Drosophila melanogaster: one gene and its partner. The protein of the gene in region 1 interacts with the protein of each later gene in a pairwise test. Each region holds a gene or a part of one and is shown in the gene's direction. Other genes may lie near its edges. The genes, in order: CG9932 and Sidpn.

Region 1 (8,882 bases):
TTAAGAGTGCAAGGAAGAAAGATTCAAGATTCTTTAGATAAAGCAAGGACGAAAACATTTCCTCCTTTCAACGAATCGAATATACCCTTACACTCTGCGATTCAATCAACTTCAATATGGTAGGTAATCGAAGATTGGTGCTATAAAAATCTAAAAGGTGTACTTCTCAGCTTACCAGCAGCTTTTGTGCAATCCGTAAATGTTGAAAAAATGTTTGTTCAGAGCATCAAATGTCCGACCCAAAACTGACACACAAAGTCACAGATTCAAATGCAGAGCTGCAGGTACAGATTCTAGAGGCAGGAACCGTTTGTTTGATGGTATATACGTATGTACGTACTGCAGTCTCGCTGGGATCATATTAAACGCTTAGCTGGACTTAACCACCACCCCCTCCAGAGGCACTTTTCGAACAGAGCTCGTCTGTCAACGGGAATCCAGATGGGAGCTAGTGAAATGTGTGCATTAAATGTCAATAACCATAACTTAATTCGTTTGGACTTTCATTTGGTTTTCAGTTTTGGGTTTTGTGCTTTCGGTTTGTCTTTCACATCGTTCATTGTCATTGTTTGCCTTTGAAACAAAGGTCAACTTACGCCCGCCACAGCCCCCACCTCAAATCCCACAATTTTGAGCTGGAGGTCTGAAATCGAATAGGTCTGCTCACTGCAAAAATATTGACTCAACTGCAGCATTTTTGTTGTGGGGGGTGGAGTAGGTGCACCATAAATCACAATGATGGCCAGACTTGGTCAGTGGCCCAATATTGATTTAGGTCGCCCGGGTAACAGTTTAAGCTAATTGTCAGCCAGTATAGTTCCAGTGAGATGCTTGACCTGTAAGTAGGTATATATAGAATGGGAGGAGGCTTATTCTGGGCTTATTCTGGGCTTACAAATGTATAAGAACAACTAATCGAACTTAAAGGCAATATTTTTAAAGTCATCAACAAGAAACTTTGCACTTAACACCCAGCAAGATTCCCAGCCTGGCCATCAGCCAAATGGAAATGGAATTCGTCTCAAATCGAAATTCTTTGGGGATTTGGCATCAGCTCAGCTCCAAAACTATCTGTCAGACCAATAAAAACGGGAGCATCCAGCACGGAAAAAATGAAATACTCAGGTGACTGACGCATGGCCCAAACGCAAATACACACACATATACACTCAGCTATAATTTACATATTTTTTTTTGGCCAAAAGAAGAGTGGAAATAAAAAGGAGCAGAAACCAACCCAAAAGTAAACAGGAGTTTTTTCGGTCCAGCGGAAGGGGGATGCCCATTTTTTTTGTGGCCCAGGAAGGTTGGTTGAAATTGAAAACGGCGTTGATTATAATGTCAATACTCATAAAAACAACAGAAATGCTCGTACAACAAAAAGCGGTTTGCAATATGAATAACTCTAAACTTGTGACACACAGAAAAGTGCGATATATAGCCTAGGGCGGGGGATGCGCCGCAGCGCGGGGGCGTGGCTGATTGGTCCGCTTCTGCTGATGGGTGCGGTCCAAAACATTTGGCTCGCTTTACCCCTTTTTATTATCGTTGGGCTCTTATTTATTTTGCGGTCAGTGTTTTTGCATTTACCTTTTTGTGTTTTTTTGCTCTTTTTCCTGTTTTATCGTCGTGTCTTTTTGGAGTTAAAAAATCAAAATGTATGTTTCATGTTTCATGTTCCCCATTGGCACTTTCATGGGCATTCCTAATGCTCAGGGGATATATGGGGTATTTACGTTTTGCAGCTCGACATGTAAACTTTTATTAAATCATTTTCAAATGCTTTCGTTTCATAGTTCAGCTCGATATTATATTAATGGATCTAGCATTTACCAGACTTGAGCTTTTTAAAATTTATATTATTAAAATCTACCCTCTTCCTTTTACATAAAAAAAGGTGTTTATTATAGAGAGTATCCCACTTCTCGAGACTCTCTAATGCTCAATTGATATCTTGTTGTTGGCTTGTCCTTTGGCTACCTGCCTGATCCGCTCACCTTTCCGTTCAGGGGGAGTCCTCTTCGCCTCCACAGCACCTCGATGTCATTGTCACCCCTCGACTTTAATGCGCTTTGGCATGCTTTTAGGCAATAATTCATGGATTAACGCCATTTGGCTTAAGCTCGTTTCTTTGGCTGCTTTTAGCGCAGAGTTTTTGATATTTGGAGCCTCGCCTTCACCTTTTCGTTGGTGCCTTCGCCATCGCCAACGCCACTCGGGATTTGGGATTCGCATTCCTTGGAAGTGACTAATAAACCTTTGGTACCCATCCCCATCTTCCGACTCTCTAATGATCTTGCTCATTTTTGGCCACAAAACAGAGTTTCGTGTGTAGCGATTTGTTGACCACAACAAATTGCATTCGCCCATAGCCTCATAAATAACATTTGCAAGGGTCCCCGTGTATACATATATGTCCTTGTGCCTGGACAAGCTGAGTGACTGACTCCGAGGACTGACTGAGAGCACGTGCTAAGTGCCGAGGCGGTCATTTATCAAATCGGGAGGAGCGGGACGTATTGGTTCGCCTTGATTTATGCCTTAGAATATTATTTTTGATATTTAGAATTCCTTCGACTGCAGTCTGTGTTCGTGCTGATTCTTGGCAAATTTCGTGTGGCATCTTGTATCCTTTATCCTTGCGCCTGATACGAAAGCATTTCGCATGAAATTCAATCGGACCGGAGAGCATCCGCTTCTGTGTCCTGTCCTCCACTTGTTTTAGCCATTTCAATTCCCAGGCGGCAGAATATTTTGCGCTCGCTTTGTTTCTGCCAAGGCATGCAAAATTTTCGGATGACTGTTGAGTTTAAGGAGAACTCGAGGGAGAAATGGTAAAACGAGCAAAAAGATGCTTGAAACGGGTTGAGTCAGGATATGGGCCAAAAGGATGTGAAAGCAAAAACGAAAGACAAGCAGGCGGATGAAAGTTTTAAGCCAGGATGCATATTTAAAGACCAACTTCTTTTTTGCTAGGATATTCACAATATTATCCACACAATGCCTAATAATAAGATTGAAGCTGGATGCACTTAAATATTTAAGTTTGACATTTCCAAAGAATTCACATTGGTGTCTTGGTATTGATTTTATAAGTCTATGGTTTTTAATATGAATAAGGATTATTAGCTTGCAGTGAACTTGACTGTTTGGCAAAATAAAAAGAATTTCTTTTAAAACTAAAAAATATTTCCGCAAAGTTATAATGCTGGAAATTTTAAACAAAAGGAGTCCAAAGAGAGAGCCTGGTTAAGGAAACCTCATTGAGTAGCAGATGGCCATCATTGTTTGGGGAGAAGGGGACAACACCGAGGGGGTGGCGACTAGAAACTGTCTTGCGGGTGACTGAGGCTCCCAAGTGGCATTGGCAGCAGCCCATCGCCATTCCCATCTTGCGCAACTTCTTCTTCTTCTTTTCTTCAACTTCCGTTGCCTGAATTTCCGGCCATGGCTATTTCATTGTTTTTACCGCTACTTTTCCCGCGTCCTCGACTGGCACTTTCCATTTAGCTGAAACTTGATTCGCATTCAGGGCATTTAATAAGCGCTTATTGTGCTTAAGCCTCATTGTTGTCCGTTCATAGTTATTTGTGTTGTTCGGTTAATACTTTCAGTGACTTTAATGACCGGGAAGAAACAATCGGGCCCAAGCAAATGGCAAACTTTGCGAGACTTATCCGTAAATTAAACTTGGAAAACAACCAAGTTTTGATTGGACGGTGGGGAGCTCTAGCAGTGATTCGTTTAATAAGTTCCAGTCCTACCCACCACGTCTAATTGTTCTAAAAAACAATAATAAAAACATAAATATAAATTTTGATTGAATTAGAATTGGAAAATTCCGACATCTGACTGATTCATAGCCATGTTTTTACTTGTTACACATACTGAATCAGGATTTTGGGAATTTTTAAAGCGTTATTATCAAAACAATTCATATAGTAAAAAAAAGGGCGATTTTCCGAGTATGCAATGTTCTTTCATTCCCGATAAAGGGGAAAGTGGTTGGGGCTGTGATGCTATTCTGTGGCTTCTTTGGGCAATTAGATTGGGCATTTAGCCATGAAATTTGCGAACATATGGCTTCTATCAGGCAAGAACAACAAACGGCCGGTGCTAACAGAGCGGCTAACAGTGGGCGGTTAGCAGAGCGGTGAGCTGTTGGGTGTGCGGTTGGGAGGTGGTGGTGCTGTTTGGAAACTGCACTGTGGGGCTTGGCTTGGCGCTCTTTCCTCGTTCGCTTGCTCTCGCGCTCTCGGACTGTCTCTTTCGCATGCCCCCCACCAACCAGTTGTTCGTGCGACTTCGGCTGGCGCTCGGCTTTCGCTTCGGCAGTGTTACAGCAGAGCATCTGCGTTCTTCAACATTCTTCAACACAACAGCACCAGCAGCAGCAACCGCGGATGCTCCTGCTCCCCTTCGCTTCTTCTTCGCTCTCTTAAGCGTGGAGCTCTCTTGTCCGCTCCGCTCGGCTCTCTGGTTCGGTTCTTATGGTTTGTGCCACCGACTGGTTGGCGTTGGCTGGTTGGTTGGCTGTCGCTCTGCAGCTGCGTTCGTGCGCTTTTTGAAAATAGTTACAAGATGTTCATCGAAGTGAGTGGAACGCCGCAGCGGTTAAACGTGGACTCTTGAGCAGCCGAAGAAGCTCGCTTCCGAAATCGCTAAACTGAAGCACAATCGCGTTCTTTGAGTGGAAACGCCAGCACAAATAAGAAACAGCCCCAATCAAAGTCAAATCAAAACAACACTAATTCATCTCTGCGACTGGAAATCAATATTCCAATTCTTCAAGCCAAATAAATAGAAAACAAAATCCCAGTGAAGCAAGAAGTGCATTCGATTTTCCTGCTCGTGGAGCTATTGTTATTTTTAAATCGCTGACCGCAGAATATTTCTACTGCTTAAAATAGACGGCAACATACAAAAAAGTGATGCCGCCAAAACAGAAATAAACCGAAAACCAAAAGGGTAAAAACTCGAAAGTGCCAAAAAAAAAACAAATAAAACAAGAATTTCACTTCGAAAAAGTGCGTGTTCTAAAAATATAGCAACAAATACAAAACCGCAACAAAGAAGTAGCAAATGGGATTATTTTGCTGCCCAACTCAACACAAAACTGCATTTTGTTGAATTGTATATTCAATCTGGAAAAGCAAAGTGTCAAAGTGTAGTGCAAAAATATTTATAAATCTCTGCCAAAACATAAACAACCGACGAAACGAGAGAAGCGTATTCTACTCACATTTCGTGCATTTTATACAGATTTTCGTTTTTTTGGAATACAAAATAAACAGAAGTACAAGAGGCGGAATCCATTAGTTCCGCATTAAAGTGTTAAAATAAATTAAGTCTTGGATACTCCGTAAACTTTGCATTTTGGAATACTTCAGCAGCATTTTGGATATCCGTGCTAGTGAATTTGATATATATTTAAATATACATATTATTCGTTGCCGATCGATCTGGAGGGCATAAGGAAATAATTTCACAAAAGGTTGGTAAACAACTAATGTTTGTGATCTCTGTGATTGTTGAGTAATAGATTGTAGCTGACATAAAGAAAACCATTTATTGCCGTCGCAAAATATTTATATTATGCACACGTCGTTAAGCATACGACAGGTTGGCCAATGTAAGAATACGCTTGTGAACAAGCAAAAGGCCATGAGAAAAGTGCAAACAAGAAATATTGGCGTTTGCTTCTTTACACAATATTAAGTAAAAATATTGAAATATTGAGTAAAAATTAAGTCAGTGAAATTGAATGTTTTGGAACGTAAGTGTATGCAGGTCGATGTTTAATGTTCAAAGTGGTCAACATTTATTCATAAAATTAAAAATATAATTTTTGTTTGTTTCTCATTTATTTTAAATTATTTTAGATTAGATTGAGGTCGTTGAGTGATAAGTAAACAAAAATTCAGTGTATTGTTTTGACGTCATTTTCTGGAAAAATCCCAAAATGTCATATTACAAAGAATTGTCTGTAAGTCAACTAGAACATAAGCCCATAAGGTTTTAGAATCAGACTTGTTTGAAAAAACCTGGTCAACTGATTTTAATTGGAATAAACATAGCCAGCTGGTGGTTGGGTAATTGAAAAAGCCCAGCAGACTTTCCCAAGAAAACGAATCCATTTCGAACAGACCACAACACCTGGACACCGCCAAGTGCGAGATCTTTACAAAGAATAATATATCAGCCCCCCTCCCTTTACAAAGAAATAAGACGAAGCACTGTAAACAAAAGTCGCCAAGTGCATATCTCATTACCAGACCAAGGATCATCGTCCAAACAAAAGAAAGCATTGCGAGAAAGAACAACAAGTGTAGGCAGAACAAAAAGACAAAACTTTTCTCATTATCAACGCAAGTGTTTTCTGCACTCCCACATTTTCGCTGTATTTTTTTTTTACAATTTCCTTATAAGTGAAAGTGTCAGTCAGGGCCATGAATATGGCCACCGGGCAGCTGGTCAGTCTCAGTTCTCAATTCTCGGATGGCAAATCCCACTTCTGCCACCGGAATCAACGTCACACATAAAACTGTGGAAGAAAAGATATTATAGAACGAGGGACATTTTTTACATCTGTCATAAATTTTGCTGCACACGGGCATAAATCTATTTTCTGCATTTTATTTGTTTATTTAAAAATTCTTGTGCACAAGGAGAAGAAAAGAAAGACGAGAGCCATAATTTGCAGTCTGATTGATGTGACAATTCCTTAATTAATTTTTGGTTGGAAATACGCCTTATATATGGCTGGCATTTAATTAGCAAATCTGTTTTTGGGAGAGGTAATACATCAGGGCAAATGATGTGATGCGAGTGCAGCAGAGAAATGAGTTTATTCACATCGCCGAATCTATTATCTGGCTCGTTTACCTTCGCGCCGCCAGGTAATTGAACCCTACTCTTGTCCTGCGATGCCCTTCCTTCTTAGATACACATCTGTATATCGTTCCCACGATTTGTCAATCAATCTTTCACTTTCGCTTCCCTAACCATAGCATTTTTGGCAATTATTTTAGAGGCAGTGCCCCGAAAATTATTGGGTAAAGCAAATAATGCGCGCTCCTGATAAGAACCGCTTGCTTCTGTGGAGATCGAGTTCAGTGACTTAACTTATCACTGCTTGCTGAAACTTTTTGGCTCAACATTCTTCGTTCTTCGTTCAGCGTTCTTCGGGCTTCTTGTTTCTTTTCTGCTGATAAGAATGGCTGAGGCTGAGCTGCCGAAGAAACCGAAGCCACAGCCAATGTGATTACATTGCATTTTAAGTTGTCCAGCAACACGAGAGATTCCCAGATTGGATGGTGACGAATGCATGGCTCATATATGAAATTCTTCAAGGTATATTAAAATATCATCCAAGGAATGTTACAAAGTTAGTACAAAAGTTAATATAATAATCATTTATTATTATTTAATTGGCTAGGCTGACGGATTTATTGGCGAAAATTGCGGTCCAATGGCGACAGCTACAGCCTTTGAAGAACTGCCACTCCATGTCAGGCAATAGTCAACAAATATTTTCCTTCCATAAACATTGTTAAGAATGCAGAATGCATTACACTCTGGCCGCGCCACCCCCTCGATGGCCACCCAATTAGCTTTGGCTACTTGTGCAGTAAATAAGCCAGAAAAAAATATACAAGATGCTGCTGGCTGCTGCTGCAAAAATACAAAAAAAAAATGGAAAATGAAAAGCTGGCAATAGAGGAAAATATTTTCTGCGCCATATTTTGCAGCCAACGCACATAAATAAGCTCTAGACCAAGAAGCCAAAAAGGCAACAGAATGGGCGTACCAAAACTTGGTCGCATTGTTGCTGCTGCCACTGCCGCTCTGTTATGGTTGGCAACTGGCCAAAAAGACATGGCCAAATGTGCGCCAGTTCTCGCTGCTCAGCCCATCGTCCAAAATTTCAGCCTCCCAATCATCCCTTCTCGGCCAATTTCTGTTGTCGGCTGGCTAATAAATAATTTTAATTGTATTTCTTTTAGCTGTACTCTTCTATTTGGCTGGCCCACTTCTTTTGGTAATAAAAAGATTTCCATTGTTGCACTAGTTGGTCTGCGGGAAATGGCTAAAAAGGAACGTGATCAACAGCAAATTGAGTTCGCCTTTATGACTTGGCCAATTTGCACAGTATGTGTGTCTTATCAGGCTGCAGCGACAGCATTGAGGTTGGCCAGGTTTTCCCTTATTTTCCATCTCTTTTTTTTTATATATTTTTTGTTTGCACTTTTTCTGTGCCATCTACTGGTTGGTGCCTCCTCCAATCTTTGGTCGACAAATATGTCGAGTGCTTGACTTGGGCAAACTTTGTCACTGATAAGACTGTTGAACACCCCTGATCAACCGTCCTTCTGCTCATGTTCAAAACTCTTCAGTTTTATGCTCGCAACACCGTAAAAAGTTTTTGAACTATTAGAATATTTAAAAAAAAAGTACAACCAACATCTATTAGTCTCCTTCAATGGGTGACTATCACTTAACTTTCATGTCTTCTTTAGATATATCACTTTCTCCCCAATGAACGCCCAACTATGCGCTAGTTTTTCTCAGTGTAACAAACAGAACCATAATAACCATACGCCACGTTGCACTGAAACTTAAATGAAATGAAACGAAAGTTGTCTTGGTTGTGTGTTTTCTTGGCGACTTGGTCACGTCTTCAATGCACTTTGCTATGTGGTAGGGGTGAAGCGGGGTGGTTCGATGGTGTGCAACGACATTTATTCTGACTGGTTATTGGTGTTGTTGCTGCTGCAGTGGCAGAAGCAGAATCAGTTGGTCCCTGCACAAGTATCTATATCTACTATATGCTCGGATACGAGTATAGTATCAACGTATAAGACACACCCACACACTGGGGC
Region 2 (9,663 bases), 6.0 Mb from region 1:
GCCAAACCAAACCAAGCCATGCCCCTATGCCCTGCCATGCCATGCCATGCCGTACCCCGCCCGTGCCACCATCCTATCTAGTGCCGCAGTTGGAGCACTCACGCAAATTTCAATTTTTTTCACACCACTGCTCCCTGCTCTGTTTGCGCCCCTCGTGCTCTCCCCCCCCTTCCCCTTCTTCGTACGGCCTTTACCATATTGTGGCCATGCCTTTGCGCAGCCGACAAAGTTTTCGGAAGTGCTATCCTTCAGACGTTAAAGCTATTTAACCACCTTCGGTACCTCAGGTACATACTTCGGTACATTACATAAATTCATTACACTGATAAATTCAGTGCTAATAGCTTTCAAATTGGTTTTATGTGTGTCCTACCCTCAATCATGCTAGAATTCAAAGTATTTTTAAATAAATGTATTTTAAAATATATCTGGAAATATCAATAGCGCCGAACTTTTGCGACTGTTATATTAAGTTCGATCTGGACGGATTTGTCGGTTGTTTCGAGCCATCATGCTTTCGTTCTTCGAAGCACGCGCCAGCACACATACACACAGACACCCACCCAGATACTCGCACTTGAACACACGCAGAGGAGCTCCAATAAAGGCGGAGTGGAGCACTGTGGGGAATTTCACCTGATTTGTTGGCAAAAATGTTATTTTGTAAAATTTTGAAATCATTTATAATTGTTTTTCTCGACGGATTAGGGGTTATGTTATGTAACGCAAATGTAAAATTAACAGTCCAATGTTACAAAATAACAGCTGTAAAATCAGCTTTTGTAAATATAAAGCACGTGGCGTCGGTGATTTTCCTTTTGTAGTGATTACTTAAATTCATATATGTATGTACATATTTTCAACCACAAGGCCTTAACAAATCAAATTTGAATTGAATTCTCATTCCTCAGGTGTGTACTATGTGTTTTTACTAATATGTTGCTTATTTTGGGCGTGTAAACTTAAATAACAATTTGTGTATTAATCAAGTGATGTCCTCGACCAACTTCTAGAATAAAATTTCAACTTTTAATATAGTTAAAAACAAGAGAAAATACTATAGTCAAGTTTCCCGACTATCAGATACCCGTTACTCTATCTAGTGTGAATGCAAACGAGAAATTTCATAAGTTTTCTGGGATATCTTTTTTGAAATTGTTCAAAAGTGGGGGCGCGACCGGCTTGGTCGTTTTGTAGGTTAAAGGAGGGGCGTGGATACCGTGTTTTCGGTATACAGATCAAAATTGGCGATACAAATAATAAAACGAAGAAAAATCTAAACACTTTTCAAAAGTGCGGGAGTGGCAGTTTTGGACTGCTTTAAAATGGGAGTGACAAAAAGTTTTTTCGCAAATCGCAATAAAAATTTACAGTAACGAAATCTACGAGCAACGGGTATAAAATATATACATATATGCACTGCATTTACCTTCAAAATAAAGAGCTCACTTTCGTAATTTTTCGAATTGGTTGGTACAGCTGCTTTCAAATTTTGTAACTATTTAAAGATTTCAAACCACAGAGTTATCGACATTGGAAAAGGACTGACACCTTGAACACCATGTGTTTTAATGTACTGGGAGTGAGCAATCTGCTACCCGATTGCAGCATTGCAAACCGGGTCCATCTGTTCTCTTTGCTGCAGCAACTCCAGAACCAGGAGCGTCGTCCGGAGGAAGTGAGTGACGAGTTGCGGGATCGCTACAACGTATTTCGCCAGGTTTTGCCCAACTACCCGCCACCGGAACAGCCAGACGACGATATGCTAGCAAACTTTGATGAGTTATTCCAGGAGCAGCTTTCAATATCGATCTTCACAGACACTGAATCATCCGGCGAGGAGACCTGCGAATCCAGTCTGGATAGTGACTCCGAGCAGATCAGCATCGGGATGGATCGTCATCATTAGACCACATTCAATTAAAAAGTGAAATTATGTCTTTCGTCTAATGTCTGCCAAGTGGTCGAGTAAATGAAAGTAAAACGTAGCCACTAATTGTTCGACAATAAAAAAGAGTAAATTCAGCATAAAATTATTTTTCATTTTTATTTTAATTACAATTTGGTAGTCAGTGGTACTAGCAAGGAATTTAATGCGCGTTTGTCGCGCTTGTTGTCCTGCCTAAAACACTGGAACCGGCTGGCCGTTTGTCCAGTGAAATGAGCCAGCTTATCAAATCTAAACAAGAAATAGATAACGATATATTTATTTATGCCAATAAAACAGGTGAAATTACCCATAGTGCGGCGTATTGTACGTGCTCTTACACCGCACAGTGTGGCGCACTTCCTTTTGATTTAGTCATTTTTCTCTCTTTAGCCGACACAACGGCAGGAGCAGGTCGTGTCATGGCCCTCTGCCACCAGCTCATGCTACGCCTCGTGTCCTTTTCCCCTCCGCCACTTGACAAACTGCCTTCCCCAACCGCCACCGAACCAGCAAACCAACCCGCCCACCGCACCGCTCGTTCGTTCTGGCTGTCCTGTCCTGTCCTGTGCTGCTTCCGTTGCCATTGCGGCATGGAGCGCACTTCCGAAGCTTTTCCTGTGGGGCTTTCCCTTCACTGGTGCGCCAGTGCGATTGTCTGTGTGCGAGCGAGTCCTTTGGTCCTTTTTCCCCCGCAGTTTGATTTTCAGTTCTGTTTTGCCACCAATACCTTTTCGCATTGTTATTGTTGTTCTCGCTGCCGGTACTGAGCACGAGATCCGTCTCCAGCCTGCTCCTGCCACTGCCACCGCTCCCTTGTCCTTCCGCCCTTCATCCGTTCCCCTTTCGCCGGGCTCCGGTTGCCACTGCTGTCTGCGCTTAACTTGCCTTTTATACCTTTGACTCCGACTACCAGTCGCAGGGAATGCACAGAAGCAAATTTTTCTTTAAGGGCATGTTCATTATATTAATAAAGTAGTTATTATGGGAAAAATATTTAAAATATTTCTGCTTTAGCATAACTCTGATTCGAAAACTAACTCCAATTGAATTTCAGATAAAACAAACATAACTTGTGATTATAGCAAAACTATTGATTATTAAGTTATAATACGCTATATAGTTATTTCCTTGGGTCCAACTTCAAGATACATGCTTAAAGTAAATCATAGCTTGCTTTTGTTTCAGTGTAGCTTTCTATCGCGGGTTGGGTATTTCCCTCAGTCAGCGATCCGTGGCCGAAGGTTGCATGTGGCCTGCTGCCGGCTGTTACAATGCCACTTCTCCCGCACGTCTGAGTGGGATGTGGGTTGTGGAGGGCAGAGGGTGGGCTGTAGGTTATCCGAGAGGGGGGAGGGGGTTGGCTCTGGGGACGTGGCAGTGGCAATGGGGCGGCCTGTCAAGTCGACCAGAAACATCGGCAGCAAGTGAGGCGGCTAGTGGGGTTGCGAGAAGTGGAGGAAGTGGAAAAGCCGGAGAGCCAAAGCCGTACAACTGGAGCCCAGACCCAGGGTCGTGGCAGGGCTTTTAGCGATGACGATGATGACGCTGGTGGCGGACTGCCTGCTCTCGGTGTGGCTATAAACGATTTATGTGTGTGCCAGCACCACATGACTGGCCCAGACCCACTGAACCACCGAGCCACCCACGGAGCCACCCACGGAGCCACCCGCCTCCGGATCCCAACCAACGCAAGCTTCCCAGGCCGCGAGGGCAGCATTCAAGTCATCGTTCAGTTTGGTTCAGTTCAGTAATTTGGCTGGCGGCAATGGCAGCTGGCAACATGCGCCAAGTGGATTGGGTTGCCAGTCCTCATTCCACGCACATATATTCTCGCCATCCTCGGCATTATCCCCCCAGATCCGTTGTGCGTAGCTTGGAGAGCACTTCCCGCGCCCCGGCCATGTTTGTGCTTTCCACACTGATTGCACCTGGCCAGGCCGCATAAAAACGCCACCTGACGAGTGCCAACGACCCACAGGAGAGCCACACTAGGCGTCACTGGGTGAGGCTCTGGCCTTCGCCAGCTTTAAGATGCGGCTGCTAATTGCTCATTATGCTCCCCCGTTTCCAAATTGGCGCTTAAAATTTCACAAAAGCACCGTTGTTTGCCTTGCCTTGCCGCGGGGGAAACTTCTGTTCAGGCGTTGCAAATTGAAATTCTACGTAGCCACAATGCGGCATCAGTTCCCGGAATCTGTCTTAATTAAATCAGCGAAAAGAGGAGGGAGTTTGGCTATTATGGCTGGTAAGAGATGCCCTGATAGTACGAGTATTCTGAGTACCAAGTTTTGAAGTATATGATTCCTGCTCTATTATACAAAATATTTAAGTGCATGTTCCCAGAACTAGTGATGAAATAATCCCAGAACTTTGTCTACCTAGAATTCGGGTTATAAGTACATACCTCACGATTCTGGCCAACCACTTTTCACTAAGTCGTCCCTTTAAGTCACATCATTGGAGTTTGCCACATAATGTAACCAGCTCTTGATATATGAATACCGACAATGCGGCACAGCCATGTGATGCCACTCATCGTCTGTAAAAAGAGCTAAGCTCCGATTATCCTGCCAACCTTGTGACGCATTATGTTACGTACAAATTCGATTGGTTTTGGATACACGCAGTGTCGGAGTCCTGTGAACCCGCCACATGTGGGCGCACTGCAGCAATGTGGAATTTCCATATTGTATGGCACGCAGTTTGGGGCACTTGTTGTTGGCCGCATTTGGACTGTTTAAATCGACGGGAATTGCAATGCGTTGCGCACCTTGTTAAGCCGCCGCTGATGTGGATGTGTGCCCGCCCACATCCCTGCCAATTTGTAGCCATCAACTTTGTTGCCACGGCATTGCGCCCCCAAAAACTCGCACCAGCAATCGTATTTATCTAATAGTCCTTTCTGCTGCCGCTGTCACAGTTGTCTTCGTCTGGATCCAGCCACTACTGCCATTCCTACCATTCCTGCTCCTGCTCCTCGCTGGCTCCCTCCTCCGTTTTCCGCTGGCCTGGCTTATTATTTGCCACGACTGCTGCGCCGCAGAAGTTTCGCCTCGTTGGTGTTATGATTTCGATGCGGGCAGCCGAATGGCAAAGTCAGCGACAGCAAACACCCACACGCCCGCTCATCCATCCATCCATTCAGCCATCCCACCCCCACTGACCCCGCACGACCCACAGCCAGTCGGTCGAAGGAGCAGGAGCTGCTTCGTCGCCCGCAGGCCACAACCCCGTACCAGATCCCGGCTCCGGCTAACCCGCCGTTGACGCAGTCCACCCAGTGAACAAAGTGTGCAGCACGTTTTCGGTCGACAGTTTGTTGTGGCGAGAAAAAAAGGTAATATGAATGATTTGGAATCAAATAAATATTTTGCTTAAAATAAAAACTAATTAAGTCTTGCAATCTAATAATAAGTTATTCATTTAGCCTGCTTTAGTTAATCAATTAAATTGTTAGCCTACACCATGCCCTGAAAAGTATGCTTTGCATTTTCTGCCAAAATAACCCTCATCCGCCATGTGTGCTGGGTTGTTTCATATTTGCGCCTAAGCGAATTGATTTGTATGCCTGTGTATGAGTGAGTTCCTGTGTCTGTGACTGAGGGTGTGCCAGTGTGTGTGTGTGTGTGTGTGTGAAAGCCAGACATGGTCACGCCGTCCGTCCAAATGGCGGCACGTCGATCCGGCTTGTCGCTTGGGCTGCCTGACATTTGCCGCAGCCAGCGCGCCACCAATCCCTCATCCCCTTGCTACACTCAGCCCCCTCCCTCCGCCCACGGGCCCATCCACCCAACGCCCACTGGCAACATGCCTCCGCTGCGTCGTTAAGCTCTTCGCCAAATCTATGTGTGTTTGTGTATGTGTGTGGAGGTCGGTGGGGCAACCATTACCACAACCACCATTAACGTGGCAGGCAGCCAGGCGTTGCTGTTGCTGCCACATCCACAGGCTTTGTTGCTGTTGCCGCTCCTGCTGATTGCTAGAGCTGTTGTTGTTGCTATTGTTGTTGTTGCTGCTGCTGTCGCTGATGTTTTTGTTGTTGTTCCTTTTATTGTCGGTTGACTCCAATCTGCTTTGGTTGCTGCGCCACACGACGATGGCTCGTGCCACTGCCAACAGCAAAAGCAGCAGCAGCAGCAGCAACATGAGCTAACCAAGCATTTCAGTCGGGAAATTTTGCACAAGCCAAGCGCACGCGGCAGCGGAAAATCGGAAAACCCCATTGCCAGCCAGACAGCCGACAGGCGACGAAGTGAAAAGTCGCAATTGTTTCGCTGCTCGCCGTCAGTTAGCCGTGAATCCTCGAACAGAACGGACGCGTGTCCTCCTCGTCGAGTGGAATTTGAATCCTGATTCCACCACCAAAAAGACGTGATTGTTGGCGGGTGGATTCTAAACTGAAAGTTTCGAAAATATTAAACCCAAATCAAGCCAAATTGAGAAAACGAGGCATTTCATTCTAATTGACGACGGGCAACGAATTCTTTTGGATTTCGTAAAAATGAGAAAATGACAGCAAAACGTGATAAGGATTACTCAAAAAATAAATCAGCACCTGGTAATAAACAAGTTTGTGCTTTATAAGTTGAATTCTATCAGAAAATAGGACTTAGAAGTTCAAAATGATAAGCTGCTCTTTTAAACGTGTCCTAAACTTCTAAAGTGAAATGTGACTAATAAATATTTGGCAAACAAAATTATAGAAAACAAGTTTCCACAAAAAAAAAACGTCCCACATGGCTCACCATTGTTTAATATATTTATATTTACTTAGTGACCATTAAACAAAAGTTAAAATAATAGAAAACATACTTTTGCAAAGAAAAAGCCACCTGTGGCCAAGAAGTATCAAATTAAATAATTTTCAAACAATAAAAAATTTTTTTGATTACTTTTATAATAATCTTAAACAAAAAGCAAAATGAAATAAAAGCACCAAAGTGTCTTGAAACTAAACATGAAGCTCCATTATGCTCACAACTCGGAACTCGCAACCTCAACTCAAAAGAATTTCATTTGAGTTTGATGATATATAGATATAGATGTTTAATTTTAAAACCGAAGTTCGTTGAATCAACAAAAAATTGATAATAAGCAAAATAATGTAACTTGAAAAACTGAACATGAGAATTTCAACTTCAAAAAGTTCTGAAACGAACGAGATAACTTTGTTTATAAATGATTAAATTACAAAAAACTTTCAGGTTATAGCGATAATTGTATTAATTATTGACCCTTCTGTATTTCCGCCAGGCATCGGATTCACCGCCGCCGGCTCAACTAATGGCAGCGGCATAAAGTCCATCGGGCTGGTGAGCTCAACGCAGAATGTGACTTCGTCGCAGGACATCAGCAAGCGGACAAACAAACCACTCATGGAGAAGCGCCGGCGGGCGCGAATCAACCAGAGCCTGGCCATCCTGAAGGCCCTCATCCTCGAGTCCACCAAGACCCAAAATGCCAAGAACGGCGAGGGCCAGGCGAAGCACACCAAGCTGGAGAAGGCGGACATCCTGGAGCTAACCGTTCGCCACTTTCAGCGGCATCGCAATCTCGACGATCCCAGTAAGTTTCCATATAAAAGTAAAAATTTTCGTATTATGACTTTACATTTTCGCTACAAAATGTAATTTTATAAATACATCTTGAAGAACATATCTGTATCTAAAATAAAATTCATTAAATTTAGGACCTAGGCAAACTTCTTATATTGAAACTTAGATAATAACATTCAAATCCTGATTTTCTTTCAGCGGTTAACAAATACAGAGCTGGTTACACGGACTGCGCTCGCGAGGTGGCTCGTTACCTGGCCACCCCGGAACCGCCGCCCATGGGCACCATGCCCACCTTGGCGGAGCCCGGCTCCAAGGCGCGACTGCTGCGCCACCTGGACCAGTGCATAGCCGAGATCGACGTGGAGATCTGTCCCCATTCGACGGCCGCGTTTGCCGAAAGCCCCAGCAGTAGCAGTTGCTTCGACCTGAATCACGGGAAGAAGTCGCAGCCCGAGGAGCATTCGCTGGACTACAGCAGCCAGGATTCGAATCCAGTGGACTACAGCAAGGGTCTGAAAATGGTAGCCGCTGAGCAGAGGACGCTGCCCGTCACGCCAGCACCCCAGGATGAGAACAACAATCGTGGACTCCAGGCGCAGGCGCAAACTCCGATACCAATACAGGTGCAAAGCCAGACACAAGGCCAGACGTCGCCGCATGTAGATGCCGTCGCTCCCAGCGAGCTGAGCTACGAGGAGGATCGCAACAAGGTGTGCGCCAATGTCCTGGAGCAGTACAAGCAACAGCTTAAGGCGCACGTGCAGCAGCAACCAGAGTCCGCCAACGGAGTCCTGGTCCTGCCGCCCCACTATGTCCAGCTGGCAGCGGCCCTTGGCCTTAGTGCCCAGCCGCTGGTGGATCCGATTGCTACCCGAACGGATTTTGAGCGGTTGATAGAGTTGCAACGGGTTCAACCACATTTGGCCGGCAAGTTGAGTCCCAGTTTTCCGGGAGGCTTGGAGGCTGCCCATGTCGCTGCCGCAGCAGCGGCTTATGCCAACAGCATGGCTGTGGCCGCTTCAGCAGGAGCCTCAGTTGCGGCAATGGCTACTTCCGGTGCCGGAACGCCAACGGTGCACCAAGAGAGACCTGCCTCGGTGGCAGCGTCTGTCAGTTCCGGCGTCTCGATGTCGGAACTGAAGTCCATGCCCGCCACGCAGCAATCCTCACCAAGATCCGAGAGTGGCATCGGTTCCAATGAGAACGAGGCTCCGGCGACCAGTCCGCGACCCCAGACAAGCAACGCCGCTCGTCAGGCTCTAAGGCAACGCCAGGAGGAGGAGTATCACTACATGGCCCAGGCGGCAGCTGCTGCAGCAGCAGCTGGGCAAGATGAGAGCATGTGGCGACCCTGGTGAGCCGTTAGGTCAGAGATCCTACGTACTAAGTATGTAGACACCACCAGTTAGTTAGGGGAGAACCAGCCGGCAGCCGGCGGTTTGCTGCCCCCACTGATCGCCAAGTAGAGGATGACACCTATTGTTATTACCGCTCGTCTGTGTAGCTCCTGCATCTCTCCAAATTGCATTTCCAACCTGTGCCAACGCCCAAGACTCTCTACAAGATGGGTTCCAGAGCCAAGGAGAGCTACCCTTTCATTTATGTATGCATTTGTTTTTGCCCTGAACTCTGCGTTAAATGTATTTAATTCAATACATAAAGCAAAAATATTTACAAAAAAACTTGAATTCTGTTTTGAAAGTGGTCGGGGTACGGGAAAAATTACGTTCTTGTTTTTGGTAATTCTATTGAATCATTTTAGCAATTTTATTAAGGTATGTACTATAAATACGATATAGATCCTTGCGGAGGTCCAATAAATACTTGTATTATATATTAGTTATATAAGTTTTCAAACAAGAAATGAGACTTAGCCTACTCTTCAGGTTCATGCTTTCTACTTTGATTTCATTGCACTTAGGGATTTGCGGGGCGCGGACTGCCGCTGGCGGGCAAGGAATGTCTGGCCAGAGCCCATCAATATTGCCAGCTTAGAGTCGATTGCATCACGCTGGGCATTGACACCCAGTCTGTAGAAAGCGGAGGTCATGAGTTGCTCCTCCATCACACTCATCTTCGGCTTGGGCTCCTCCTCGACGAGATCAGCACTCTTTTCCAGTACGCTAGCATCCAGAGCTGAAATTTCAACAATTATTGTAAATTTTTGTTATATTT

What was found.
Region 2: the proteins of CG9932 (region 1) and Sidpn interact in a two-hybrid assay, tested with the Drosophila melanogaster proteins (one large-scale study listed by BioGRID).

The regions. Positions count from the first base shown.
Region 1 is NT_033779.5:13,055,829-13,064,710, reverse strand, and holds the start of CG9932 (uncharacterized protein), read left to right. Parts: upstream 1-4,570; 5' UTR 4,571-5,494; intron 5,495-8,882.
Region 2 is NT_033779.5:19,021,618-19,031,280, forward strand, and holds Sidpn (uncharacterized protein), read left to right. Parts: upstream 1-6,092; 5' UTR 6,093-6,439; coding exon 6,440-6,488; intron 6,489-7,183; coding exon 7,184-7,495; intron 7,496-7,683; coding exon 7,684-8,846; 3' UTR 8,847-9,163; downstream 9,164-9,663. Other genes in the region: CG15172 (uncharacterized protein), read left to right, coding at 1,562-1,909; hook, read right to left, coding at 9,386-9,624.